7 linked regions of the Callithrix jacchus genome follow. The protein of the gene in region 4 interacts with the protein of the main gene of each other region in a biochemical or structural test. Links are inferred from orthologs where the notes say so. Each region holds a gene or a part of one and is shown on either strand. Other genes may lie near its edges.

Region 1 (4,073 bases), on a different chromosome or scaffold from region 4:
GATACTAAAAACTAGTTTCAGAAATAAATAGCTGCTCAAAATCCATTCAAACATAAATAGCTAATCTTTATGGAGCACTCACTATGTACAGGCACTGCTGGGTGAACTTTCCACGTGTTAGCTTATGTAATACCCACAAGAAAGTCAGTGTGAGGAAGACGCATTGTTAGGCTAGGCAACGTTTTGAACCTCATGCAAAGCCTGGAGAGATATGCCTGGAATGAGGCACAATCTCTCCCTTTAATGTGCTCACTACCTTGTATGGAAATGAGGACCTAACTCATAGTTCAGAGTAAGTAAAAAACCACAAGGTAGACATTAAAGGGACCCAAAGGAGGAGGAATTTGTTCATCCTAGCAGGATACTGGAGGGCTTCTTGGAGGAGGTATCCAGGTGGAGAATGAAGTCATAAATGCAAGGAGCTTTCCATAGCTTAGTGTCAGCTCCTCAGCTCCCAAAGCTGCTAAAAGGCCAGTCTAGTCCCCCTGCCCCCTATTCAATTTCATCTGGAACATGTCTGTTTCCAAGAGAGGACCAGCTTGCCTTTGCCCAGCCCTTCCTTTGACACATGCCTCCAGCTACTGCCTGTCCTTATGGAAACAAATGGGAACTTTTCATCCCATTCAATTTCACCACTTCCTTTGGTGCTTTCCCTGGGGAGAATCTGCGTCATGGCACTTGGTTGCACAAGGGACCCCTTTAAGACTTCAGTTGTTCTCCACTGGGTTGATATGAGGACAGCCCCTTATCTGTACCAAGGTGAGATGTAAGGGACCTACCATCACCAGCAACCACCAAATGCATCTTTTAAAAGGCCACCCCTCCTCTACAGATTTCTGAGAGAGGAATTTGCCTCCATTCCCTCCTTCAGAATCAGCCTCTCCAGTCCTGTAGGGTCATTCCCCGACTCCTTCCTTCTCCATACTTAAGGCTCTGCAACAAGGGTTCAACCCCTTGCTTTTGGCAACTGTGTGACCTTACTCAAGTCCCTTAACCAATGTCAATCCCAGTTTCCTTATCTCTAAATGGGGTATATAAGAACCACTGGGTCTTAGAACTGTTGTGAATCGGAGTGAGATAGTGCAAGTAAAGTATTTTACACGGAGCCGGGCATGTAGTAAATCAACAATGAATAGTAGCTTCATTATCATCATCGATAATAACGATGGTGGTGGCGGTGGCAGGGTAAACTTGGACCCGATTCGAGCTCAAAGCAAACACCCCCTCCCCCGTCCCATGCCTAAGGCTAGGCCACACGGTGGAGACACTTGCGTCATCCCGCTGAGGGGTGAATGCAGGCTCTTCTGGCGGCGGGCTCAGGAATCACCAGGCAGTTGTGTCCTAGCTCACCTGGAGGGGTCGCGGGGTGAAGCAGATTTTCTGATGGGGGAGGTCCAATAAACTGCAGACCCTCTCTTTCTGTATACCCACTCACCAGGTACGGAAACTGACTCGTGGCCAAAGAACGCCAACTGCATCCCTCCCCAGAGGAGCCAGGACAGCGTCCACTGTGCCTCTGACTCAGTTCCCCGACTCACCCTCGGATGCAGGCGAGACTGCGCTGCACTTGGTGGCGGAGATAACAGGTTGGCCAGCCAGGCCTGCAAAACGTCCGCCCCCTCCCACCCCAACCCCCCTCCCCCGCCCCCACCTAGCGCAAACCCAGCCCCCTCTTCCAAACGCAGGTGGGCAAACAACCCACAACCTCGCTACAACTTTGTGTATTTCACCGCCATCACAGGGCGCACGGCCTCAACTTCTCTTCGCTGCGCTCTGAGGAGGAAAGCGGGAAATCGAGGATGAGGGGCAGCCCACAGACAGCCGTCCTTTCCTACGGGCGCCCCCCAAAGGCGCGCCCCGCCTTACCTTGTCTGACGGCTTTGAAGGTGACGGCCTCCTTGCAGCTGTCGATGACCCCCAGCACGTCATAGCGGGGCAAGCCGGACACCCGGACCCCCTGCACCTCCAGAAGCAGCTCCCCTTCGCCCAGCCTCGGGCCCTCGCCGCCGCCGGGAAGCCCCGCCGCCTCGGCAGCCGCCACCGCTCCGACGTACGGAAACTCCCCATGCTCCGCGCCTCCCAGCACCGTCACCCCCAGTTCGCCCTGGGGTCCCCGCTTCACGGTGCATTCGTGAACCCTGCTAGTCCAGTGGTTCTTCTTCTGAATCACTTTGGACATGATGAGTTACACCCCTCCTCCAAAAAAATAAAATTAAACGAGAGACAGGTGCCCCCCACAGCACAAGCCCCCAAGCCTCCACTGGTTCATGGGAGAAACATCTCTCCCCAAATCACAAAACAGGAGAGAGAAACTTGGCAGCCTCGCTCCCCTGCACACGCTCGCGCACTCAAGCCATCATAAAACAAACTTTCTGGGCTTCCCCGCGAGCCCCGCACCGGCGCCCGCGAGCTTTGTTTGCATTCCGGTGCCTCTGGGTCCACGTTCCAGCGCCCGCCCGTGCTCTCCCGGACCAGAGTCCACTCTGCGCCGCTCGGGTTATTTTTTTTCCTTCCTTCCTTTCTCTCTTGCCTTTTACAAATGCGGTGCCTCCTCTCTGACTCCCGCCGGGCTCTTCTGTCCTCGTAGGCGTGCTGTTCCTGAGGGTGAAGGAAGCCCTTCCAGCCAGTTGCCGGGAGCCGTGGAGACGCGGTGGCGGGGCCGGGGGGAGCGGGGCGGGAGGTAAGTGCCCGCGGCCCCTTTAAGCAGATACAAAGGCTCGGCTTGTTTTGTTACAGTTCATTCTATTCCGCGCCGCGGAGCGCAGCGGCCGGCGACAGGAGACGCGCGCGCATGCGCCCCGCGGCCGCTAGCGGCCGGCCCACCCCTCCCCTCCTCCTCTGAGGGAGAGATTCCAACGTGCTTCCCGATGGGTCCTAAAACCTTCCGGCCAGGAGAAGCCAACTCCCCCTCACTTTTCCTGAACCCCTCTCCTCCCTTCTCCTTTTCTCTCAGTGCCGTGTACTCCGCGGATTCCTTTGCGCCAGGGGGGCCGCACACGTGTTTTACTCCAACTGTTAGCAACTTTTGAAACCGAGCAATCTGGCTTTGGCATTTGAAAACCATTTCAAACAGGTGGGGGTTGGGGAGGCTGCCACACTCACCCAGGCGCTCACACTCACGCACACGCGCACGCACTCGCGCCGGCCCTAAGCCTCCTAACCGCCCTTGGCCAGTGGCTGGCCAGGCTGTCGGTCACCCAGCCCGGCTGGTCCGCCGTCCCCAGCCGCAGGTCCCACTGAAACCCCTGAGACCCGCCCCAGGGCGCGAGCCGAATCCCCGCCTGCCCTGCGCTCGCGGGTTCGGGTCCTGGCACGGAGTCTGCCAAGGTCTCTGCAACTCTGGGAAGGGGGACAGTGGGATTCCCCGGTCCCCGAACTGAGATCCCTGTGCTGGTCACACGCACAATCGCACACACCCGCATCCTTAAACTTTGGGACCAACTTTTTAGGACACGAGAAACTACAGGAGAGAGAGAGAGACCCCATGGGGCTATTGTGGGTTAAGGTCTTCAACCAATAAAGAGATCCCTCTAGCTTTTCAACTGTCTTTCCAGCAGAGACTGCTGGAGCCAGGCATCGCCCCGGCCTCAAGTTTCTGGCAGTGCATCCGCGGCCAGGAGATAAGGATCCCCGCCGGGCATGCATGTGCCCCAGCGTCCTGGCCCGCGGGGGCGTGGGCGCGGCGGCCACCTCTCGGAATTCGCAGCCCGGGGGTAGAGTACGGGTAAAGTGACTTCTGTCCCCGGCAGGTGGCGGACAGAAAGGATCCCGCCCCCCAGGAAGGCTGACCTTCCCAAATACTCAAATGGCCTGCGCAGTAGTCTCCCCAGCAGTTTCTTTTCCTCTTTAGTGATGTATAACTTTTGTTCATCTTTGGTCACAGGAGAGATTCCAAGAAATGAGGGTGGTATGTTGAAGCGATGGAGAAAGGGTGGAATGCCACGGCGGTCGAGGCTGAGAGGTAGGCTCAGGGATCTACCCTTGTGTGACCTTGAGCAAGCTCGGTGACCTCCGCGTCTCCATTTCTCACTGATCAAATGAGTAGAACAAGAACTCACGGGGTGATTGGAAGT
Region 2 (3,500 bases), on a different chromosome or scaffold from region 4:
ATGATGTTTACCTTATAGCTCTGATGTATTCACTACTTTCAGCACTCAATACTCTAAAATGTCTCCTTGCCCTAGTGGATATTCGATTCCTATGGCTCCTATTTGCCATGATTCACATATAAGTAGATTCCCATACTTACCTGTGTATCCTATAAAGTAAAACACATCATCCTTACTTAGCTATGCTCATTCTTTGCTCAAAGACTATCGGGGCAAAATGTAAATAAACTCTTTAACTGAAGTGCATCCCAATAGGGTCTTAAGTAATTCTCTGCAATGGATTTGATGCATGAAATTTACCCAGGTAAAATTTTATCCTCATTTTATCACCCTAATCATTATTTAAGTCTATTTTGTCTTTATGGATTACAGTGTGAAATATATGAAAAGCCTAAATAATTTTATAATGTTGAAATGGTAGATGGCAATATTGAGAACAAAAGAAGATACCTGAACAGAGATGAAGCCAAAGTTTCCTATAACCCTTGTTTCATCTACTTCTATCAATGGTTTCATTTCTTTCCATCACGTAATCACTACAATGTTATTGTGATCATCAATCTAACTTAAGCAGGGTTTTTTTGTCTGTTCCATTTACACAATGCTGCCAATGCTCACTAAATTGATCACATTACATCTCAATTTATTAAAGATGGAAATAATAGTTTTCATATATGCTGTCCTACATGGAATAAGGTAGTTATAAAAACTCTAAATTATATTGAAAATCAGATGCTTAGCTTTTGAAACCACAAACTTTCAGTAGTTACTTTGTGTCATAAAGAAATCAAGCAAAACAATGTTTCACAATTTGCATTTTACATAGAATCGATTAAATTAGAGGGAGGGTTTCTATGGAATGGAGAAAGAATGTTAGACCATGGTTCACTGGTCTATACGATAACCACATCTCGGTGCGGCAGTGAAGGGACAACGCCACACAAAGGCAGGGCCCGGAGAAAGCTGAATATCAGAAGAAAATGCAGAGAACATATGTAGACATTAAACAATCAAATTTTGACAAATATGTTTCAACTTGAAAGGGTGTTAGCAAAGATTCAAAAGTGACAGCCTATCCTGGAGGTGGCTTATCATGCCTTTTAAGCCATGATTTCTAAGAAAGATGAAGCATGCCAGTATTAAAATGTTGATCTATATTTGAAATGCGGTTTATGTCTCTAAAATCTGAAACACAATAGTTTTATAAATCCCCTAATTGTTAAAAATAAGTATCAAATGCTAAACATGTAGTTTGGTAAGGTAAAGAAAATCAAACATGAAATTATATGACTCATTGCCTCAGGTCTGTGAACCCAGTAAATCATTGCTATAACAGAATTTTGCTTCCATTGAAATGCATATGTTCAATGAAATCCGTCTTAAAATGCGAGACTTTGTAAATGAAAAGGGCTACCTAAGCCACTTTGGGAGCAACACTGGTGCACATGTCTTCATTTGAAGCACCAGTTTCTGTTTACCGAGTTGCTTCTCATACCTGGACTACTTGTCAGAAACAGGAACTTCTCTTCCTTTAGCAAGCTGTAATTCTTCAGCAGATTTTCTGCTCTAGCCAGTTTGTCCTCTGCTAGTCTCTCACGAACACAAAGCTCCTGTTCCTTCTCTTTAAAAAAAAGAATGGACAAAGAAAGAAAAAAATTAACAAGTGACCTTGACTATAAAACAATTTACATTTGGCTATCTTATCACTAAGACTCGTGTGCCTGATACTGATAAGCAATGTTTCGGGAAAGGATTCTAACTAAGCCTCAGTCAACCTGATTGTGCTAGTTTTTAACTGAGCATTTTAGTAGGCTGTATGTTATTTTAGATTTTCTTCAAAGGACTTTTTAAACAAATACAAAGTTAGCTTCAACCTTTGGTCATCTTTTGTGGGAGTAACTCATTTGGGAAAACAAAAAACTAAAGCCATCTCTGCTCTTCACTGAAGATAGGCAATATGTTAGGGCATGATCTGGCCTCACAGTACAACATTTCCTTCCTCTGGTTAAATGACCACATCCAAATAAAAGGAAAAAAAAATTCAGTTAGGCGGTAGTTTGTAAGATTAGTATTAATAACAAAGGCTACTATTTATTCGTGACCCCAAATTCAGAAAGCATTCAGATTTCAGTCTCTCACGAACACAAAATTTTGCTGTACAAAATTATGGCTGGGCATGGTGGCTCATGCCTGTAATCCCAGTACTTTGGGAGGCTGAGGCAGGTGGATCACCTGAGGCCAGGAGTTCAAGACCAGCCTGGTCAACATGGCAAAACCTTGTCTCTACTAAAAATATAAAAATTAGCTGGGCGTGGTGGTGGCCGTTGTAAGCCCAAGCTACTCAGGAGGCTGGGGCAGGAGAACTGCTTGAACCCGGGTGGTGGAGGCTGCAGTGAGCCAAGATGGTGCCATTGCACTCCAGCCTGAGCAACAAGAGTGAAAGTCTGTCTCAAAAAAAAAAGAAAGAAAGAAAGAAAGAAATTATGAAACACTGGGGAAAGTTATAAGAAAAAGTTTTCTTACTTTTTACAGAGGTTTCCAAGTAAGCAAAGGTTGTACCTATACAGTAAGCATATCTCATAGGACTATACAATAGTTCATTACGTAAAGTCTGCATTGGGCATAAAGCTGCAGAAGTGAAATCAGGTGAGTCATGTGGGCGACAGGTAACAGATCCCCATCTCTCGTCTCCTAATGTTAAAATGAAGAGCCTCACTGCTGTAGCTACCTTACACAACCCTAAATACCTGCTATTCCACCAGCTCTCATCTTGGTGGAATAGACACACTTTCAACATCAAAACTAAATTAGCACCTAATCAGTTAATACCCATTAAGTCAACATTAATACCCACCAGAGTATTATTTATAGACTTGAAATATCTTGTACCTAGATTCTCTATTGAATTGCCTGAACAGACCAGGTGTTGTGGCTCACACATGTAATCCCAGCACTTTGGGAGATGAGGTGAGAGGATCGCTTGAGCTTAGTTAGGAGTTCAAGACCAGCCTGGGCAATATAGTGAGACCCTATTTCATTTTCAAATATAGTTTAAAAAAATTAAATTGCCTGAACATATCTCATCTATATACTGTAGGATTTTAGACCTGAAATTCTGCTGGAGTGGCCATTTCAGAAGACAAAAGTCATGGTTTTTAGTATAGAAGGCAGCAAATTCTAAGACCTTCTTTTATAGGGGGAAAACCTTAGGGTGTTTATGGTAGAGACAAAAAATTAAAAAGTAACTTTGCGGTAAAGTATAAGGCTAGCATGTTAGGGCCATCACAGTTAAGGCCCAATAATATATATGTAGCAACTGATCCCAGAGAAAGACGTCCAACATGCAAGTGCCAGCAAGCTTGACTATTAAAAGTCTACAATGCACATTTTGGTTTCTCAAGTATTCATTACATTTCTAATACGATCTGTATGTATAAAATATTCTGCTCAAAGAGATATTCAGACACATCAAAATAACCCACTTGATAGTTCCGCTTTGC
Region 3 (3,730 bases), on a different chromosome or scaffold from region 4:
CTATATAAATAACCTATCCTTCATGTATGAACAGATGTCTAAATACATCTGCCTTTATAGAAATATGTTATAAACATATACAGGCTGTATAAAATACTCATAAGCTTTTTAAGCAGTCAGTACAATTCAGATGGCTGTCAGAGTTCAAAATGTATTGTGCCTATTTCTAATTCTAAAATTTAATGTTCCATTCAAATCACTTTTTTAGGTGATTGGGAAATTAATAATCCTTTATCTTCAAATGTGATTTATGATGAACAGTCACCATTACCCCCATCTTCACACTCTGCTTCCATATTTGAAGAGTCTCACATGCCAGTAACTGAAGAATCTTTAATGAGAGTTCAGATATGTGAAAAGGCAGAAGAATTAAAGGACATTGTGCCTGAAAAGAAAAGCACTTTACATGAAAATCAGCCCGAGGTAAAGCATCAGTCTCTTCTCCAGAAAAATGTGAGTAAGAGGGATCCACCCAGCAGTCATGGGCACAGTAACAAGAAAAATCTATTAGAAGTAGAAAATGGTGTTACCAGAAGAGGTAGATCAGTTAGTCCCAAAAAGCCAGCCAATCAGCATTCAGAGGAACATTTGGATAAGATTCCTAGTCCTCTAAAAAATGACCTCAAAAGAAGACCCAGAGATCGATCCCTCAGCCCCAGCAAGGGGGAAAATAAAAGTTGTCAGGTCAGCACCAGGGCAAGGTCTGGACAAGATCAGTGCAGAAAAAGCAGAGGTCGGTCTGCCAGCCCGAAGAAGCAGCAAAAAATTGAAGGAAGCAAAGATCCAGCAAATGCTAAGGCCAAATTATTAGAGGGTAAGAGTCGAAGAATAGCAGGCCGTGCAGGCGATAATGCTGAGGAGATCCCAGATGGGAAGGAAAAGTCAGGCGTCATCAGGAAAGATGCAAAGCAGAATCAGCTGGAAAAAAGTAGAACAAGGTCTCCAGAGAAAAAAAGCAAAAGAATGGTTGAGAAGTCTCTTCAATCCAGAAAGACTAGTAACACTACAAGTAAAGTAGTATCTGAAAATGAAAAAGGAAAGAAAGTAACCACAGGAGAAACAAGTTCTAGTAATGATAAAATAGGAGAAAATGTCCAGATAGCAGAAAAGAGGCTGAAGCAAGAACCTGCAGAGAAGATAGTTTCAAACAGAATAGAAGATCACAAAGGGAGAGAACTAGAGGCAGCTGACAGAAGCAAAGAGACTGGAAGATTCAAACCTGAAAGTAGTTCTCCAGTTAAGAAAACACCGATAACTCCGGGGCCCTGGAAGGTGCCGAGTGGAAATAAAGTCGCAGGCACTACTGGTGTGGCTGAGAAACGGCAGTAACCTTTAGTATAAAACAAAGAAACACAAGTTGTAATCTTTTCTTACAGCAGCATTTTTCCAGAAAAAAAAAAAAAAAAAAGCCTTTTTCTTTTCAGATATTCTGAAACAGATAAGTACATGTTAATGTGAGCATCAAGTTACCTAGGCTGCATGAAGGGCCTTAGGATTGCTAAGAACCAACTGTCCCCCTGGCTGGCTGTCCTGCCTTGCACTCAGGAAGGAGCTGCATCCACATGCTCATCTGATCCGCCCTGCTCAGGCTGCCCAGCTCGTCTTAATGAGTGTCTGAACAAATGTTGATATTAACAGTGTGGTCACAACTCACTTTGTATTTGTGCCAAGTTATCTACTGTATCATGTCTGTTTTTATCCTCGTTCAGCTATTTCCACAGTAAAGAACAAGTTAGGTTTGGCTTGGAAGTTGATGTCCTCAATAGCATGTTGCATGTTTACAGAGAGAAATATTTGAGTCCTTGCAGAGGAAGAGACTGTCAACTCACCATTAAAGATGGCACTTGTCTCTTCCAACAGCTACTGATGATGTCCCAGTTTAAAAATAAACCCCCCAAACATCACTAACTTCACAGGAAAAAAAATGTAGTCCAATACTGATGCTTTCTTATGGCTTTATTTTAATTTGGCTGGATAAGTTGTTTCAAGTAAGTGTTAAAGATAGTACTTACAACTGAATGTTTGAAATGAGAAAGTACTTAAAGCAATAGAGTCCATCTCCTGCTGTGTTATCCAACATTGATGTACAGTTACGGCATCTCAGGTCACCCTTTTTATTTGTTATTTCATTATGAAACCATAAAGAAGCATGTGGAAAATAGTGTTTATTGCTCTTTGAAGAAAAACCACCAACTATTTCTGGATATTTTGGCTTTACCTACTACTAAAGTCATTAGTCTTTAATACATAATGCATATTTGAAAAGGAAACATATACATCATGTGAGGGACTTAACCACGAAACCAGTTTCACAGTCCAGGTACCAACTCTTCTGGTAGCAGGTGTACAAGCTTGGGTGTTTAGAGCAACCTATGTAAGGTATTACCCAGCAAGTAAGGACAAAAGTGTAGACAGTACTTACTGGATCTTATTTAACTTTTAGCTACATTAACTTTCTTACTTAAAAACAAGAAAGGGAGACTAAACATCTGCTTAGCTTGTACACATTTTCAGAATTCTTTTAAAAAGTCTAGTTAAACGTGTTTCTTAGAAGTTGGAGACTGTTAACTTCCGTAAAATAGATCAGGTTTTTCAGTTCCCTGAAGCAGCATTCAGTAGCATCTATAAATAAAGGCACCTTCTGAAAATAAAAAACTCTCTTATGGAGTGTGTGAACACACTTGTTCTGTCACCCTGGGTTCATCTTGTTGTGAAGCACATTATGTCCAGGTCCTTCCCTCTGGGAGTCTGACTGTGAAACTCTTTAACCCAACAACTGTATTAGCCCCTGTAGATAAGACATGCTTCCCAGAGTGAGATTTTTGAAATCCCTTTTCATCCAGAACTGTATTTACACACCTATTGTAACTATTCAAATAAAGCAAAATTATTAGGAGGCTTGATAAATACTAAGAATTTAGTACCACAGAAATTATTTATTTTCCCTATAGTCCACAGATAGTGATAACAAATCCTATTTTTGTTAACGGTGACATAACTTTGATGTCCTATGTTGTCCTATGTGGCTCTTCCTTTCTAAGTAACCTCTGTACTGACTATATACTGACTTAGCAATGTGGCCTTGGAATGCTGAGCAAAATATGGATGTACTGGTTGTAAATGTTTATATATTGTACAGTACCTTTATATATACACTTGAGGTTCTGATTAGAGAAAGATCTGTAAATTGCTCGTTATTTTTTATATAGATATTAAAAAAAAAAAGCAGTTCATGGCCTGCATTTCTTTTTTACCATCAGATTGGTTTAATGTTGCTTTCTGATAGTGGAGCTAGATCCATCACAGACTGAGCCCTCAAATAGATTTTCTCTCTCCAAGTTACAAACATTCAGAGTCCTAAAAATCAGGAAGACGTTTATAGCTATACTTGTATTTACACATAGAGTTTGAAATTGTTTAGAGTTGAATATCATTATACCCATTTTTCATCTTTCATTGTAAAGAAAATAGCTTTGGATAGATAATTTGCTACTAAAAAAAATCCTTTCTTAACACTATTGGGGAGAGAAAAAAGTTTCTTACTGGAAATTCAGCTACTAGACATTTATAATGGATATAGTAACATAAGCCCAGTTACCACAAGGTCACAAAATTCCATTTCATTAGACTAACAATTCACATTATTTTTAAAGGTCATTTAGTTTTATACTTCTTAGAATGAAGTGTTTTTATTTAACTCTATATGAAAAATACCTAAAACCTACTTCAA
Region 4 (3,965 bases):
TTGTCAGACCTACCACTGGGATGATAGGACCATCTGGCAGATAGCGTGAAAGGCTCATTCTAGTTCTGTTTATGTTCAGATAAATGTCAACACTTAAACCTATTTATTAGTTCAAAGTGGAGCTAAAGGAATTCCCCTCTCCCAGTGAGTCACACTCGTGTGAAGGTGCTTGAAGTCCAAACCCAGGTAGTTAGTTTCGTTCCATTTAGGTAATAATGAAATATTATCTGAAGGGGACTGGGATAGACACTGTCTGGCTTTCTCTCACAAAAGCCCAGAATTAATCAGTGTACAAGGTGGAAACACTTTTTTGGGGGGTGCAATGTAATGCAGGGCCAAATGCTAAAGAAACTTGGCAAATCTCACCTAGAGAGGGCCTGCCTTCTCTATCACTACAACAAATTACTTCACTATGTATCTTCCTCAGCATGGAGCTGAGTTGGATCAAGTAACCACTGTCACAAACCATTTAATGACAAGAAAAAAAAAAAGTGACACAATTGAATGAATTAAAAGTTTAATTCTGAACCATTTTTTATAACCGCATTTTCTCTTGAAGCATCATATCACAGCAGGTTACAACAACTTTGGGATAAAAGGCAACTGGTAAACTGTCCAAAACAAGGTTCCAAATAACACCTCTTACTGATTTACCCTACCCATACATATCCCAAATAAAGTTTTTGATCAAAAACATGAAATAGATCCACCTGCTTATTTTAAGCATATTAAAAAGGAAACTAATTGGACCATTTTCTATTTGTCTATTTTATACAAAAAGGCTACACAATGTTACACTTTATTCAGATTACAATTAGAGTGATTATGAATTAGTGTTCTACACCATTACTCAATTCTTAAAAATTAGAAATTGCTGTAGCAGTATTCACTATAACTTAACACTACAAGAGACTTAAAAAACTAAGTTACTGCCAAAAAAAAATTAAAAGCTACTTCAAAGCAAGCAAAGTCAGTACCATTACAGATATAGTTTAAAAAAAAAAATTTAACAAGCAAGGCTAGGGTTTGATAAATTCCATCTTGTGATCCATTCTTGTGCATTCTTCACTTCTTGAGTCACTCCCAAAATCCATTTGTATTGTTACTCCTCGACCAAAAAGGACCAGAACAAAAAGTTTACTTCAATTGTTCCCATAGGAAACTCAGCTTGGTTAGTGTGTCAGGCACTTTCTGAGATACCAGCCCCACCCCTCGAGCCCTCTCAGCAACTCTACAGGCCAATCACAATGCAAGTTCAGACAATACAGCTGTATAAAGAGAGAAAGGCTGCTATTAATGTTTAAAACAGCAAATGTTACTCATTTGAGTATTAAGTTGCAAAAGCTGTGGCAAAAAACATTAAAGTTAATAACTTCCACACATGATCACATAACAACCAGAAATCTGAGAACATTCCAATGTTCCAAGACATCTCCTTTCAAAGTATATACCTGTTTTTGTGGCAGATTTACAAATAGCCTAAACCACTCCCACCCTACCAACCAAGTCTTTCTGAAGTTCTGTAGGTAGAGTAAAAGTATTTCACCCAAACTGGCTTTTTAAAACTTCTTACCTAAAGGATGATTTACAGGTCAGTATCAAACCAGGCCAGCTGATTGCTGTCACCTGGAGGCAGCCCATCCATGAGGTCCTGAGCATGCCCCAGATCTGGCAGCCCATCAACGGGATAGTCAGCACCAGGGTGGTGGCCACCCATCTCATGCTCCATCATGGGGTCCATACCCAAGGCATCCTGGCCATATCCACCAGAGTGAAAAGAACGATAGCTAGGGTCTAGAAGAAGCAGAGTGGCAACAAAACAGGCCAGAGAGAGGAGACAAACAGACACAGACGTTAACACTGCGGTTAGGGCATCCGAAGTTTAGCAGCAAACTTGTTGGAAAACAATGCTTTCTAGTCTCTTTCAACTTATAGCTTTCTTTAGCCAAGTAATGACTCAGTGCTGGGCCACCCATGAGACTATGCGAGCAGCACACCAGCAGGGCCGAGTCACACCGTCAGCCTAACCCTGAACACTCTGCATTTACCCATCAGACTTGGGGTTCCCAAAGATGAACAGCAATGATCTAATTGTGTGTGACCACCTAGGCAGTGAGAAGTCATGGGAAGAGGATCAAGACAATAAATACTGAGGTCTGGCAGGTGTAATCTATCAGTGACTCCCACAAAAGTCCTAAAAAAGCTCAAGGCACCATTTCAATTAAACCTCAACAAATTTTACCTCAGGCTTGACATGTATTTGTCACAGCAAGAATCCTGCACTTTAGTGGTTTCATAATTAGGTAGAAGCAGATGAGGTTATAAATCCAAGGTAGTTATAGTTGTTAGTGGTCTACCCCATCCTCCATGTTCATTATCCAGATTTGAATGAACTTTTCAAGAAAACCCTGATAATGCAACTATGTAACCCCCAACCCCAATCGGAGCCTTTCTGCCTTGGGTAGGCTGTAGACAAAGGTACTGTGAGTCCTCTGGCCAAAGAGAATGAAGAACCAGGTAAACTGCAGCACCCTGCATGGCAGAGGCCTGGCAGCAGCGTTTCTCTGGTGGTGGTGTAGCCCTACTGATGCTCAGTGTGTGCCTCTGCATTCCCTGTGCTCCATTAGAGATACTGTTGCTGACTGTGGAATTTAGGAACTGCTTTTAATGGAAGCCACTACTTTTCTGCCAACACTGGTTTCCCAGATGAGCAAAGTGGCTCTTCTGATAAGGTTTTAGAACTTTAGCTTGATCTGGAGTTAAGAAATATGAGGCACATACCATCCTGGCGATATCCAAGGGGTTCTCCCTGGGCACCAATATCAAGTCCAAGATCAGCAGTCTAGATAAACAGGCACAAGGCAAGGAAGAATAGAAAGTAAAAGTACACTCTCATTTTTTTTGAAGCATACTTTCAGATTGTAAAAGGAACAAGTAACTCCAACATTACAGACATGCTTAGAAAATGAAGTTCTTCAAAACTCCACCCCTCAAAGATACATTTTTTCTCTTTGCACCTCATATTAAAAATACTGACTTGATATTTCAACAAGTATATATTATATATAATATAGGAACATGTTAATAAGATGTATTAAAAACCCAAGTGACACTAGTCACTGGTAATTTGCTCTGCATTTTTTTTTTTTTTGAGTTGGAGTCTGGCTCTGTCACTGAGGGCAGCCTCTTAACCCCTGGGTTCAAGAGATCCTTCTGCTCCAGCCTCCACTGTGGCTAGGACTATAGGTATCCATCTCCATACACAACTAATTTTTAAGTTTTTTGTAGAGATGGGGTTTTACTCTGTTGCCCAGGCTGGTCTTAAAACTCCTGGCCTTAAGAGCTGCATCGTTTTAAACCTAACAATCTCTCTCCACTCAACAAATATAATCCACTGTATGACTAGGACTTGTACCATCACTGATCACTGTAGAGTGGATAAAACAAACTTCCAGGTGGTTCTGGTTTTATTAGAAACAATGTTTCAGTCAGCACCCCTATGGAGGACAAATACTGAAGACAGATCCATAGCAGAAATTCAAGTAAAAAGTTTCATTAAAGTTTAGTAAAAGATACTGATAAACGGATTTTTTTTTTTGAGACGGAGTTTCGCTCTTGTTACCCAGGCTGGAGTGCAATGGCGCGATCTCGGCTCACCGCAACCTCCACCTCCTGGGTTCAGGCAATTCTCCTGCCTCAGCCTCCTGAGTAGCTGGGATTACAGGCACGTGCCACCATGCCCAGCTAATTTTTTGTATTTTTAGTAGAGACAGGATAAACTGACTTCTAACAGTGTTTAACCCTGTCCCTTTCCTTACACCCTTCTGAACAATCTTTAATCTGGTAACATTTTTCATCTTTCTTGGGAACTGTCATTTTAAGAGCACAGTTTGTCTGTAAGGATTCTGAATAGGCTCTTTAAAAGCTTCTATTACATTTCTTCCTCAGAGCAGTCGCTAGACAGC
Region 5 (4,065 bases), on a different chromosome or scaffold from region 4:
CAGCCCTCTGGCCGCAGCCTGTTACCACTTCTCCTGTGAGTCTCAGGCCCTAGTCTTGGTCAACATATGCTCTAAGCCCCTCCTGGCCCAAGGGTCAGGGTGCTACGGCTTCTGTGGGTGGGAGGCCCATCTCCCAGGAGGTGCTCTGGAAAAGCAGAGACCAAACTTGCATAGAAAGGGGAGAAAGGGTTTGCCGGCCACAGGGATGAGAGCACAGGCTTCAAGGTGCTGTGGATTCGTGTTGGTGAGACGAGTGTACAGCACGGGACACAGAACTAGGCGTCGAGATGAGGCTGCAAGTATATGGCTGGGGCCACATCCTGTCCTGGAAGGGGAGTAGGGGCATCTCCCTAAGCCCTGGGCCCTGCTCTCGTGCAGTGCAGAGTGTTCTAGGACACTCCCACCATGCTCTGGGGCTGTGGTCCCCAACTGTGCCAGATTCCTTTCAAAGCCCTTGGCAAGCACCCTCCAGTTGGCAGATGCTAGGAGCCAAACCAGATCACTCCAAAAGTTGAGAGTTTTAACAGGAAGGGGAAAAGAAAAAAAGATGATGAACTAGACTAGACCTAAAGAGCTTTCCCAAAGAGGGGGTTCTTTGTAGCCTGAGGGGGTGAGGAGTAGCCTGACCTTGATCCTCAACCCACTGGAGTTCTCAGGAATTGAGTAGGGCAGGGCATGGTCAGCTCTGCTGCTAGAATGACTACTCGTGGTCAGTAGAGGAACGGACATCTCACAAAAGCAGGATGCCGAAAATGGAGATCTACAGCCTTGGGGAGCACTCATGCAGAGGAGGAGTCCAAAGGAGCATCCAGACACCTCGCCTGGCTGAACACATCACCCAGATGGAGACCCAGAAGGAGGAGGAGCAGGTCGAGTTGGAGTACCAGGAGCTGTGGGGCAGGTGTCCAGAAGGCAGATGGATCTATGGAGCCAGAGTTCAGGGGAAGAGTCCTAAGTGGCTTTAATATTCTCAGAATTCTACATGGGAGACAGTGGAGACTGGGGAGTCAGCCTGTCCAACCCCACCCCCAATCCAAGACTCAAGGGAGAGGCCAGGCCACACACACCACGTCAGGCATGTTCCTGGTGTTACTAGAATTGGGGGGCATGGGCCTATAGTTTTGGGGAAGGCTGTGAGACCAATCACGGCATGAGGGAGGGGGACAGGCAGCATAATCCCTGAGGCCCACTGGGCCTGTGTCCTCATGCCCAGAACAGCTTCTCCAGGCCTGCTCCACGTGGTCAGAAGGATACAGGCCTTTGGGTTGGGGGACAGGGCTGTCACTGATTTGCTGCGGGAGGTCACATAGAAGGTGGCTTGCTTGGCTCCTCACCTGCCCCTGCCCCACTTCTAGCTAAAGAGCAAACCTGGTACCTTCTCTCTGGGGCAGCTAGGAACCTAGAAAAGCCAGGCTGGGTGGGCGAGGTGGCTCAAGCCCGTAATCCTAGCACTTTGGGAGGCCGAGGTGGGCAGATCACTTGAGGTCAGGAGTTTGAGACCATCCTGGCCAACATAGGGTCATCTCTACTAAAAATACAAAAATTTGCCAGGCATGGTGGTGCGTGCCTGTAATCCCAACTACTAGGGAGGCTGAGGCTGCAGTGAACCAAGATCATGCCACTGTGCTCCAGCCTGGCTGACAGAATGAGACTCCGTGTTAAAAAAAAAAAAAAAAAAAGCTCCAGGCTGGTGTGGGGCTGCAGGGAAGGGGAAGCTTAGGACAGCTGTCAGCTGGTCTGGCAATGCTTCCTCCGGGCCTGGGCCTGAGTGCCACCTTTATCAGTGACTTCTCTGCCTCCACCCACCTGACTGCTGGACACACCCATCTGAGAGTACACAGCAGGCCCCCACGGCTCCAGGGCAGGGACTTTCACTTGACCCATTGCCCACCGGGCCACCGGGCGGACATTTCTTCCCTTTCAACGCTCTCGGGAGGTGGACAGGAGACCTGAGTCTTTCTTGACGTCGTCTTTTCTGGCCGAGCACCATCAGACAGACTTTTTTCTGGGTCTCCCCACCTCTGCCAAAGGGTTGGCCTCCAGGCCCCGTCCCACCTTGACACAGGCGTCTGAGTCTAATATCCCAGCCTCCCTCCCTCTGCCTAATCTAATAGTACCCAGCACTTAAAACAAGCCAGAGGGTGGACAGGGGCCTAGGCTAGTCCCCAGAGGGTCTCCTCAGGTCTCAAGTGCCAGAAAGAAGGCCTGGACTTTTTTTGCCTTAAGGGTTGGAGATCCAAGAAGAGGAAATGCTCATCCCAGCTGTGTGAGCGCCCACCCTGGGCCGGGCAGCAAGGCTGGACAGAAAGGGGGAAGGGGCTGCCACAGCAGGCTCGGGACAGCCCCACCCCCAGATCTCCCTCCGGGCGGCGGCGCAGGCTGCAATGGAAGAAGCATTTCCTCATTCCAGAGGCTGCGACTCATGGACGTCGGGATCCGCGCCCGCCCCCCCTCAGCTGCCCGGCTGGGGACACGAAGGCCCGGGAAGGGGGCGCTTTCCCAGGCTCCGTGGCCCTCCCCGCCCCGCGCGCGCGGTCTGGGCTCTGTCCAGGGTCTAGGGAGGCTCTCGGGTCCCGGCCGTCCCTGTTCCGTGGCTGGGGCAGCTGTGTCCGGCTCCGGCAAGGCGAGGACTCGAGCCCTGGCCGCCGGTTCGCAGGAACCCCGGGTTCGATGCTTTGTCAACCTGCTTGGGGTGTCAGTTTCCCGCTCTGGGAGGTGGGGTCGGGCCAAGACGAGGAGGAGCCCGCGCAAGCGCACTCACCACCACGGCGGTGACCGGCTGGCCCGGAATGTAGGACATCTCGACCCCACTCTGGTCGCCCAGCCCCACTCGCAGAAGCCGGCAGAAGAGTTCCTGCGGCCGCGCCCTCGCTGCTTAACAAAGGCCGCCCTGCTCGGCCCGCCCCCTCATGAATAGTTAGCACACCCGCCAGCCAATCACCGGCCGAAGCGCCACTCCACTTTCCGAAGTTCCGGCGCGTGCGCAAAAAAAAAAGGGCTGGGGGGGAGGGGGTGGAGCGTGCCCGGGGCGCCCACGGCGCAGGCGTGGAGGGCGGGGTGGGATCTGGGCGCGTGCGCAGTCCGGGACCTCCCGGCAGCCTTCAGCGCAAGATGGCGTCGCGGGAGTCTTTTCTCCTACCCGCCTGAAGAAACGCTAAGTACGGTGTCCGGCGCCGTATTCCAGGTAACTGGGTCAGCGTGGCCGGAGAACGCAGACGCGCCACCGCCTCCCGGCCGGCCCGGACCCTCAACCTTCTCGGCGTCTCTTGAAGGTCCGAGGCCCAGGACTGGTGCCAGCTCTTGGAAGCTCCGGGGGAGGGGGCGGCGGCGGCGTGAACCCAACTCGCCGAGCTCTGGGCGCCACTTGTAACTTGGTTTTCTCTACAGCTCCGCGTTGTCCCGCCAGAAAGCGAGAAACTGAGCCCCGGGGGGTGCGATGGCCGCGGTGGTGGCCAAGCGGGAAGGGCCGCCGTTCATCAGCGAGGCGGCCGTGCGGGGCAACGCCGCCGTCCTGGATTACTGCCGGACCTCGGTGTCAGCGCTGTCGGGGGCCACGGCCGGCATCCTCGGCCTCACCGGCCTCTACGGCTTCATCTTTTACCTGCTCGCCTCCGTCCTGCTCTCCCTGCTCCTCATTCTCAAGGCGGGAAGGAGGTGGAACAAATATTTCAAATCACGAAGACCTCTCTTTACAGGAGGCCTCATCGGAGGCCTGTTCACCTACGTCCTGTTCTGGACGTTCCTCTATGGCATGGTGCACGTCTACTGAAATGGGGGCCCGGGGGACTTTTTTAAACCACCAGATTGGGAGGACTCTGGCGAGAAGTTAACACCGTGTAGACTTACCTAGTTTTTAAATGGTTCGATCCGCTGCTTGTTCTGTAACGTTATAAATAATTTATATCTGAAGACGAAGAGCCTGTAATATTCTTCAGATTAAATGAAGCGTGAGACACTTTGTAGAGTTCTTTCTTACCTTAACGCATAGTCTGCCATTGGTGCAAAAGCGCCAAGATTTGACTCCTGGAGAGCGCGGACTGGCTATAGCCTTGTGTTAAGTCCTTG
Region 6 (4,110 bases), on a different chromosome or scaffold from region 4:
TTTCCTTTTTTTTTTGAAACATAAGGGTCTTGGTTCTGCTGCCCAGGCTGGAGTGCAGTGGCATAATCATGGCACTCAAATTCCTGGGCTCAAGTGATCCTCCTGCCTCAGCCTTCCAAGTAGCTGGGACCACAGGTGTGCACCACTATGCCCAGCTAGTTTTATACTTTTTGTAGAGATGAGGTCTCACTATGTTGCCCAGGCTGGGCCAAAACTCCTTTTTTTGGGGGGCAGGGAGAGAGAGACTCACTGTTTCATTATATTGCTCAGGCTGGTGATGAACTCCTGGGTTCAAGCGATCCTCCTAGGCATGAGCTAAAATTCTAATTAAAAAAATTTTTTTCTAATTTATCTTGTAGTTTTAGTCCTGAAGATCTCTCAATCCACCCCAGTTTCTTTTCCTAGGCAGTTGTTATATATTCACTTAAAGATTCAACACACACCTATTATAAACCTTTCAACTCACCCAAATATAACTGCATTCCACTGCATGATGTTGTTTTCAGATGGTGCACCACTGACACCCACAGGTGGGTCCTCTTGTAACCTAGAAATCCGGAGTGGTAATTTAAAAAGTTGAACATTAAGGCCACTAAGGAGGCCACATAAACACCTACAGACACTATACCATCTATTGTGACACAGGGACTAACTCCATTTCCTTGTTACTGTGAACTAAAATGAACCCTATGACTTAAATATATTAACCAGGTATATACACTTATTAAATACCTCTCCAAATTATCTAAAAATGTAAAAGGCTTGAGAATCATCCCTTTTTCAATATTATCAAGATTATTATCTCTTCAAGAATTGATGCATACAGACTGTCCTCTTAAACCAAAAAAAAGTTTAAAAACTCAAAAGCAAATAATATTTTTACAGAACCATCGATTTTGCTGCTCTAACCATCCAAAGACTGTGTGTCTTAACCACAGGTACTTCTGCAAAATGGCTAAAAAAAGAAAAGCAAACCTCAGTGTAAACACTAATGACTGAAAACACGTTAATTACAAAACTAGTATTAGGCAGATTTACTTTATCCCTTTTGCTTCAAACGGCAATGGCTTTAAAAAGTAATCAGTAGGTTTTCTGCCAGTCCCTATTTTAAGGCTCTGCACTAACACCAAATCTACCTCTCAGATCAGGAGACTCAATACAAGGCTTTCCAACATTCCTCAAATTCTTATAACCTGCAGACCTTTGGAAAACTTCAAAAGGTGTCATATACTCAACTCAGAATTAAGCAGAGCATTACAGTAAGGAGCCAGGGAGACAATGACGTGAACTAAATTGCTATTTGAATTTTAGTCACAAGTGCCAAGCAAATACACTAATTTCAAGCTTTAGAAAGATAACTTTTGCACAAAAAAGGGCATCTCCTTTCAGAGACTGTAGTGTCAATTAAAAATGCTACATTATACACACAAATACATATGCAGTCGTTTTCATGGGGCATCACACTTTGCAACTAGTCCACATTAAAAAAAAAAAAGGTTTTTAGTCAATTTCAAGCAAATTAGGCCGCCACGAACAGAAGCCTCACAAGAACTGCACTGCTTGACGCCTACCTTTAAATGGCTAAGAGAAGCTACCAATGAATTAAATAAGTTGGCCAAAGCCCAAAACAATGGATGGCTTCCAAATGCTTCACATAGGCTTTATAATGGCTGAGTTGAGAGGCGACTTCCTGAGCGACAAATCTAAGTTTTTAGGCCAGATATTTTGTCTCAATTAGGGCAGGTATCCCCAAAAAAAATTTTAAGAAAAACGTGCAGAGTTATCAAAATGCTGTTTTCTCACATGTTTTTCTATGTCTCTAAGTATCCAATTAAAGGCAAACGACGGACTAATCATTCTCTTTCTCACAACCCCAATACCTCCTAACAGTTAAAACCCTATTTATTTACCAAAGGAGGCCCAGGGAGTATCAAATTAGCGCCCGTCTAAGGGAAGGCATTTTTCCAGACTCGGGAGGCTATAGATAGGGCTTTCTTCACCAGCCAGAGCTGAGTTCCAGAAGGCACTGGCAGCCGGGGTGGCCAGCTCTGAGGTCCCAGATCTCTAAGTCGGTTCCCAAGGTCCTTTCAGGCGGGCGGGGACAGAGTCGGGTTTCGGGGGATGGGTTAAGCTCCGGGCCTCACGCACTGGACCCCACCCTCACGGTAGAAATGGAAAGGACCGGGGCGTGGTGCGGGGGGTTTCGCCCCAACCCGGCTCCTCGGAGAAGACGGCGGGGCAGTGAAACAAAGCTGACCGGTGCAGCCGGCGAGGAACAAACTCCCGCAGGAGCTTACTTTAAGAGGACAAGAAGGGGGCGCCGCAGGGTGCAGGGGCGGGTGGAGGAAATCTGATCGCCGGGCAGCTGGCCGAAAAGGGCAGCAGGGAACCCTAGGCCAGTCGATCGACACCGTTTTACTTTTTGGGGGTAGGAGGAGTATCGAAATTTATTCGGCCGCCAAAACGAGAGGCAAGGATAAGGTAGTGGAAGCCGAGGCTAGGACCCGGCTTCTGCCAGTTCTGCTGGGCCCACAGCCGGCCCTCGGAGGGTCACAAGGGGAAGGTGTCCGGGATCCCCACCCTGCAGCCCCGCAGCTTTGAGGGGCCGTCATCTAGGCGGACGTGAAGGCCCTTACCGCTTGAAATCCCGCATGAGCCTTCTCCGGGCCGGGGTCGACATGCTCCCCAGCTGCCCCGCGGTCAGTCTGAAAGAAAAGAGTCCCGCGCAGCCCCCCCACCCCCCGGCGCGGCGGCCAAATCACTGTGGGTAGCTGCCGCTGCTGCCGTCGCCGAGACTGACAAACAACCCTGCAATGACGTCTCCCTCCGCCGCCTCCGGATCCCTCCGCCCTCCGGATCCCTCCGCCCTCCGCCGCTACCACGGAAGAGCGTTGGGGGAGGAGGGGGCGGGACGCTGGAGCGCGCGTTCTCCGAGCCCTTCTGCGGGGCTGGGTTCAGCCTGGGCTTCCTGAAATGATCGGCAAGTTTGTGTACTCTGTGCTTACACTAGAGGTTGTGGATTCAGAGACCACGGAACCGAAACACTATCTGTCCCCCTCCCCGTCATTAGTTTAGACTCGGCGGGGTGGAGAGAGGGGGGACTCATCCGGGCCAGAGATTTCAGGGAAAGGAGGTGGGATGACGTAAGATCACGTGACTGACCGTGGCCTTGTCAACAATCCACCCCTGAGGGGGAGGGGGAGAAGTATCTAGAACCACGTGTCCCTATGACGCCTTTAGAATGGGTCACGTGAAAGCCTCGCCTCTATGTGAGTTTCAGCCAGCTCTATGAAGCTGGTTCAAGGGAGATTACACCTTTATTAGTTGTTTCCTGTTTATTACAGGTTAGAGACATCATTACCCAAGAGATCATGGCAGAATCAACAGCTTGTTTTGTTTTGTTTTGTTTTGTTTTTTTTTTTGAGGGTTTTAAAATTATTTATTTATTTTACATTTTGTAGAGGCAGGGTCTCTCAAAGTGCTGGGATTACAGGCATGAGTCACGTTTTGTTTTCTTTAAACCGGGACCAAAAATAATTCCCCTCTGGTTGGTTCAGTGGCTTATCAACTCTGCTATTGGGGCAAGAAGGGTATTGCACGATCTTCTAAGGCAGCATTGAATGTTGAGGCCCACACAACAATATCCTGCAATGCTTCCTTGAAGCTACCAAATAGTCTTTCAGCTTTGCAGTGGGGTTTCTAGTATTGAAAATTTTGGGCAAACATTAAAGGATGGTGTATTATGCAGTTTTTCCTTTCTGGGTCTGCTTTCATTTGAAGATATGTGTCAGAGTCCGGGACTTGCCTATAGGGGGTTGTACCATTGTATATTTTTAAGGAATGTGGGGTTGCAGACTTCCAGGCTTATCAATGAGTGGTTGGTTGTCAAAGAAACCTACAAATATGATTTATACCTGGGGGAGAGCTCCTGTAGATATGAGTGAGGGTTATAAATCTAGCCTGAAGGCCCGGTGCGATGGCTCACGCCTATAGTCCCAGCACTTTGGGAGGCTGAGGCGAGTGGATCACGAGGTCAAGAGATCGAGACCATCCTGGTCAACAAGGTGAAACACCGTCTCTACTAAAAATACAAAAATTAGCTGGGCATGG
Region 7 (4,076 bases), on a different chromosome or scaffold from region 4:
CTCAAAAAACTTATTCTTTTATTCAAATTTTGAAACTTATTAAAACAAACTTCTAATTAAAAGTCCTATCATTTAATTTTAATTTTCCAATATTTTCGAAGAAAACTTGGCTATACTACTTCTCTTGGTAAAGTTTCTTAATTCAACTTTGTGTTGCAAGAATATTATAAAATTTTAATTAACTATAGTAGGACAAAATACCAGTGATATAACACCTGTTGCACTTAGAATACTTCAATGTAATGTGCAGACAATGAAGTTAAGGTTAATGGAACTGAAGATTCATTGTTCTGACAGGCTTAATTCCTTTTCCAAAATTATAATCTATGTATGTGTTCAAGGTAAAGTAGTTGAAAACTTCACAATTATACTTATTAAATGTATTTCTGATTAAAAGTAGAATATGACTGTGAAAATCTGAAATCAGTAAAAGGAATGTTAAATATTTTAGAATGCAAAAATTAATATTTAAAAACAAAGAATAAAGGGAACACCGAGACTTGTCTTAAAGAAGGTGTCATTCTTTTTTTTTTAGAGATTACAACACACATACAATAAGTGAATTTTATCAAAATACAGCACATTTCTTCTACTATATCCATAAAAATCAATTCCTATGTAAATAGTACTGAAAATAACTAAAAGAGTTAAAATTTACAAAGAGTTGTTAAAGGGTTTCAATCAAAATTATTAAAACTATACAGTACAATAACCAATTGATAACATCTTGAAAGAAGTGCAATATTTGAGTTCACATATTTTTAAAAGTGCTGCCTATTCACTCTGACTAGCAAGAATGGAACATGAGTCCAACTCGCTTTTGCAAAAATAATATGGGTTGGTATTTTAAGCTAGTCTTATAAAAGTCTTAATTAAAATCAAGGTTGATAAAGCATAACAGATTAAAAATTCCCAAATTGCATTTTAGTAAATAAAATGAAGTGCAATAACCAAATATTGCTCTGATGAAAGGTTCCAGACTAGCCTCAACTACAGTTATTGGTCTTCTATGGCACTTTTTTCTGGTCCAAATAACCATGCATTAATCCTTACCACTGCATGTTACTCATTTTATTTGATTACACAAAACAAAAACAAATAAAATTAATGGCCTGGATAACAAAATTAATAAACCTGTATTATCATCAAATATTTGTTACAGTAACTAGGAACAAAGGCAGTTGGTGGTAAAACACTATTACACTGATACAAGTAGAAACCCTTTAAAGACTCTGAAGTATTGAGTTCACATTTAATGTTACCTGTAGAAACAGCCCTTTATTTGAACACCTTTACACACTGGTAGGCCTCAAAGGACCCATCCCTTTGCTCTACAACTCTCCACAGCAATTCTCTATCACTGTGCCAGTTTCACAAACTTCACTTTGGTTTCCTAGCTCCATGCGTACTGTTTCCTTTTTTACTTTACCAAGGCGATGCAAGGCCAAACATAAAAAAGAGGCTTTCCTACTAAACTTTCTTACATTTTGTGTTACAGGCAACACAGTCTTAAAACTGGCCATTTTTGTTTCATTTGCTGCTTAAAATAAAAATTATAAATTAGATTTAAATGGAGCACTAATTATAAAACAGATTGTGAGTACCACCATTTGCAAAAAAAAAAAAAATCGGGATTTCCATAACACAGAAAATGCATGGACATGCATCTACAGTAGAGTTAAAATTTTCCTGTGACTAAAAAATTAAAAACTGTATCACCAGTAACAAATGTACAGTCAATGGCTATGACAACAACAGATCCTGTAGAGCTCATTAAATGCAATTATTGTCTTTTTTGCTTTTTAAAAAAGACATTACATATTTTATTGCATTGTTCTCTTAATAAAAACATACTACCACATAGCTCCCCCCGTCCCCATTCTTTGCTTCCAGATTTTTATAGAAAATAACTGTTTTAATCTGGCCTTGGAAAGTGAACCCACCAGCACCAACTTCACCTACTCACTCTTCAATTCAATATGCACATAGCAAAAGCCAACACTTCAAATATCTTGCCCACATCAAAAAAAGTAGTTTCAGGAGAAAAACATTAATACCAGTTGAATAAAAATAAGGGCATAAAAGCTATGAGATAGATAGCTCTGCCATCTGTCTCTGGGCTAAAATCAAGGCTAACTATTGCCTTGTACACAGTTCAGTCATGTATGAAATCCAAAAATAAACCTACAATCTATACAAAAACAACACAGGTTTGTTTTTGTAACCTTGATTGCTATGTTTAAAAACCTAACAAGTTTTATATGGTATGAATTCAACAGTCTTCTTTATATTCTGTACAGTGGTTCTTTCCCTCTAACCACAAGTTCCATTACTTCATTAATGTACAAATTTGAACATAATTTTTTGAGTTCTTTATATATAAAAATAGTCAAAATATTAATTTCCCCTGCAAGTATCTTCCAATAAATCTTGCTGTCTTCCCCCCCCTTTTTTTTGTCCACAGTGCTTATGAGGAAACTTCTCGTACAATGATGAGTTCAACTGTATTCTGGAAAGTTTTTAGCAAGGACACTGCTTGTCCATGTTCAATATTTATAAAACTGTAGCCATTAGCCTAGAAGAAAGAGGAAAAATGCTTTTAGGAAAAACATTTTCTAGTAATTTATTTGCATTTCTGCCAAGTAATTCACAAACCTGGAATAAAATAAGAATCACTTTGACAACTTAAAATAACATACAGATTCACAGGCCCTACCCAAACCAAGGAATAGTCTCTGAAGACTAGAAATGTGTATTTTGTCCAATTTTTCAGAGAATTCTTATGTAGCAGCCCAAAGTTAGGAATCACTTATGTAAGAAATAATGTCAGACATGGTGTTACATAACGTTAATGTGCATCTGAGGTGACCAAACTGTGGTGTAGCAGAGGGCAAGGCCTAGTCTTCCCATTGTCTTGAGCCATCACATCAAGTCCACCATATTTCTCACAATTCAGGTTAATATTTACTGAGGCTCTACTGTGTATCAAACACAATTCTAAGTGTGTAACATGAATTAGATCCTTTGATTCTCATAACGCTCAAAAAAGATTCTTTTTAGCTATCTTATTTTAGAGAAGAGAAAGCCCAGGCATGGAGAGAGAAAGTAACTTGTTCAGTTACAAAACTGAAACCACAGATTCCCAAATGGTTCACAAAAATAAATGTGCATAACTGTATGAGTGTGTGTGTGTGTGCGTGTGTGTAGAGACAGGGAGGGAGAAGAGAAGAAAGAGAATAAATGCTAAAGACAATGTAGCAAATTATTGTGGCTTTTCTCTAAGATTTAAATTATTTAAGAAAAAATTTTAAAATTAATTTTATTAAAAAAAAAGTGTTGGAACGAGAATTCAAACTCAGTCTGGCTTTCAGAATCTGCAGCTACTAGACTTGAATGTCTGTCTGGTTTTTTTGTTTTGTTTTGTTTGGGGTTATTTTTTAGCTCTCAACTAAGAACAGTGACAGTAAGAGCAGAAAATGAGAGCTACACTTGTGTCCTAGGCTTTACTGGCTTGTTTCATAAGATATCTAAAAGATCCACTGGTGGTTTTGTGCTAACAACTCTTCGTTTACTTAATCTGTTTAAAGGCTTCAAAGGAGTTGGGATTTTAAAATATGAACAATTGATAGTTTTTATAACCATGTAGTCTTCCTCCTAAGACTACAAGTGTTTAGGTAAAATGAGTAGCTGAAAGAACAAAGAAAAGGAGGGGACAGAGAAAAATAAGAAGAGTTTCTCAGATTTAAAATTTTTCTTCTCCATTTCTGAAAGGACAACAGCCCACATCCAAGAAGTGGTACTCTAATCCCCCTCGAATTAGTAAAACTTAGCATTCCTGAACTTAAACAAAATCCTATGATGTATCACACTTTTAACCACAATTTTTAAAGTGAATACATTTTAAACTCTGAAAACAACAGTGTTATAAAATTTAAAAAATATATTTATTTTAATTACCTGAATAATTTTATCACCTGGCTGCAGTAATTTTGATGCTGGTCCTTCAGGTTGTACCCTTGTTACAAATATACCCTTTAATAACAAAAATTAGTAATTATTTAACTAAAAACAGTATG

The links.
Region 1: the proteins of CTNNB1 (region 4) and MAGI1 form a complex in vitro, tested with the Homo sapiens proteins (2 studies listed by BioGRID and IntAct, with this or other methods). The link is inferred for Callithrix jacchus from reciprocal best matches to the Homo sapiens genes CTNNB1 and MAGI1.
Region 2: the proteins of CTNNB1 (region 4) and NEK2 form a complex in vitro, tested with the Homo sapiens proteins (2 studies listed by BioGRID, with this or other methods). The link is inferred for Callithrix jacchus from reciprocal best matches to the Homo sapiens genes CTNNB1 and NEK2.
Region 3: the proteins of CTNNB1 (region 4) and MAGI3 form a complex in vitro, tested with the Homo sapiens proteins (2 studies listed by BioGRID and IntAct, with this or other methods). The link is inferred for Callithrix jacchus from reciprocal best matches to the Homo sapiens genes CTNNB1 and MAGI3.
Region 5: the proteins of CTNNB1 (region 4) and TAX1BP3 are reported together in a solved structure, tested with the Homo sapiens proteins (2 studies listed by BioGRID and IntAct, with this or other methods). The link is inferred for Callithrix jacchus from reciprocal best matches to the Homo sapiens genes CTNNB1 and TAX1BP3.
Region 6: of the proteins of CTNNB1 (region 4) and UBE2B, one has a biochemical effect on the other in vitro, tested with the Homo sapiens proteins (2 studies listed by BioGRID, with this or other methods). The link is inferred for Callithrix jacchus from reciprocal best matches to the Homo sapiens genes CTNNB1 and UBE2B.
Region 7: the proteins of CTNNB1 (region 4) and ERBIN interact in a test that uses a peptide from one of them, tested with the Homo sapiens proteins (2 studies listed by BioGRID and IntAct). The link is inferred for Callithrix jacchus from reciprocal best matches to the Homo sapiens genes CTNNB1 and ERBIN.

Annotation. Positions count from the first base shown.
Region 1 is NC_133516.1:47,811,806-47,815,878, forward strand, and holds the start of MAGI1 (membrane-associated guanylate kinase, WW and PDZ domain-containing protein 1), read right to left. Parts: upstream 2,801-4,073; 5' UTR 2,180-2,800; coding exon 1,867-2,179; intron 1-1,866. UniProt on the Homo sapiens protein: Plays a role in coupling actin fibers to cell junctions in endothelial cells, via its interaction with AMOTL2 and CDH5. May regulate acid-induced ASIC3 currents by modulating its expression at the cell surface.
Region 2 is NC_133520.1:16,817,681-16,821,180, forward strand, and holds part of NEK2 (serine/threonine-protein kinase Nek2), read right to left. Parts: intron 1,622-3,500; coding exon 1,496-1,621; intron 1-1,495. UniProt on the Homo sapiens protein: Protein kinase which is involved in the control of centrosome separation and bipolar spindle formation in mitotic cells and chromatin condensation in meiotic cells.
Region 3 is NC_133508.1:151,644,627-151,648,356, forward strand, and holds the end of MAGI3 (membrane-associated guanylate kinase, WW and PDZ domain-containing protein 3), read left to right. Parts: exon of another isoform or gene 1-208; coding exon 209-1,329; 3' UTR 1,330-3,230; downstream 3,231-3,730.
Region 4 is NC_133518.1:79,033,669-79,037,633, reverse strand, and holds the end of CTNNB1 (catenin beta-1), read right to left. Parts: intron 2,843-3,965; coding exon 2,782-2,842; intron 1,795-2,781; coding exon 1,586-1,794; 3' UTR 1,574-1,585; exon of another isoform or gene 1,269-1,573; 3' UTR 501-1,268; downstream 1-500. UniProt on the Homo sapiens protein: Key downstream component of the canonical Wnt signaling pathway.
Region 5 is NC_133506.1:67,211,012-67,215,076, forward strand, and holds the start of TAX1BP3 (tax1-binding protein 3), read right to left. Parts: upstream 2,801-4,065; coding exon 2,762-2,800; coding exon of another isoform or gene 2,227-2,761; intron 1,076-2,226; coding exon of another isoform or gene 975-1,075; intron 870-974; coding exon of another isoform or gene 744-869; exon of another isoform or gene 601-743; intron 1-600. Other genes in the region: uncharacterized protein LOC118153673, read left to right, coding at 744-869, 975-1,075, 2,227-2,917; EMC6 (ER membrane protein complex subunit 6), read left to right, coding at 3,437-3,769. UniProt on the Homo sapiens protein: May regulate a number of protein-protein interactions by competing for PDZ domain binding sites. Binds CTNNB1 and may thereby act as an inhibitor of the Wnt signaling pathway. Competes with LIN7A for KCNJ4 binding, and thereby promotes KCNJ4 internalization.
Region 6 is NC_133503.1:32,758,552-32,762,661, reverse strand, and holds the start of UBE2B (ubiquitin-conjugating enzyme E2 B), read right to left. Parts: upstream 2,801-4,110; 5' UTR 2,681-2,800; coding exon 2,637-2,680; intron 548-2,636; coding exon 467-547; intron 1-466. UniProt on the Homo sapiens protein: E2 ubiquitin-conjugating enzyme that accepts ubiquitin from the ubiquitin-activating enzyme E1 and transfers it to a E3 ubiquitin-protein ligase. In vitro catalyzes 'Lys-11'-, as well as 'Lys-48'- and 'Lys-63'-linked polyubiquitination.
Region 7 is NC_133503.1:143,430,334-143,434,409, forward strand, and holds the end of ERBIN (erbin), read right to left. Parts: intron 4,033-4,076; coding exon 3,958-4,032; intron 2,576-3,957; coding exon 2,468-2,575; 3' UTR 501-2,467; downstream 1-500. UniProt on the Homo sapiens protein: Acts as an adapter for the receptor ERBB2, in epithelia. By binding the unphosphorylated 'Tyr-1248' of receptor ERBB2, it may contribute to stabilize this unphosphorylated state.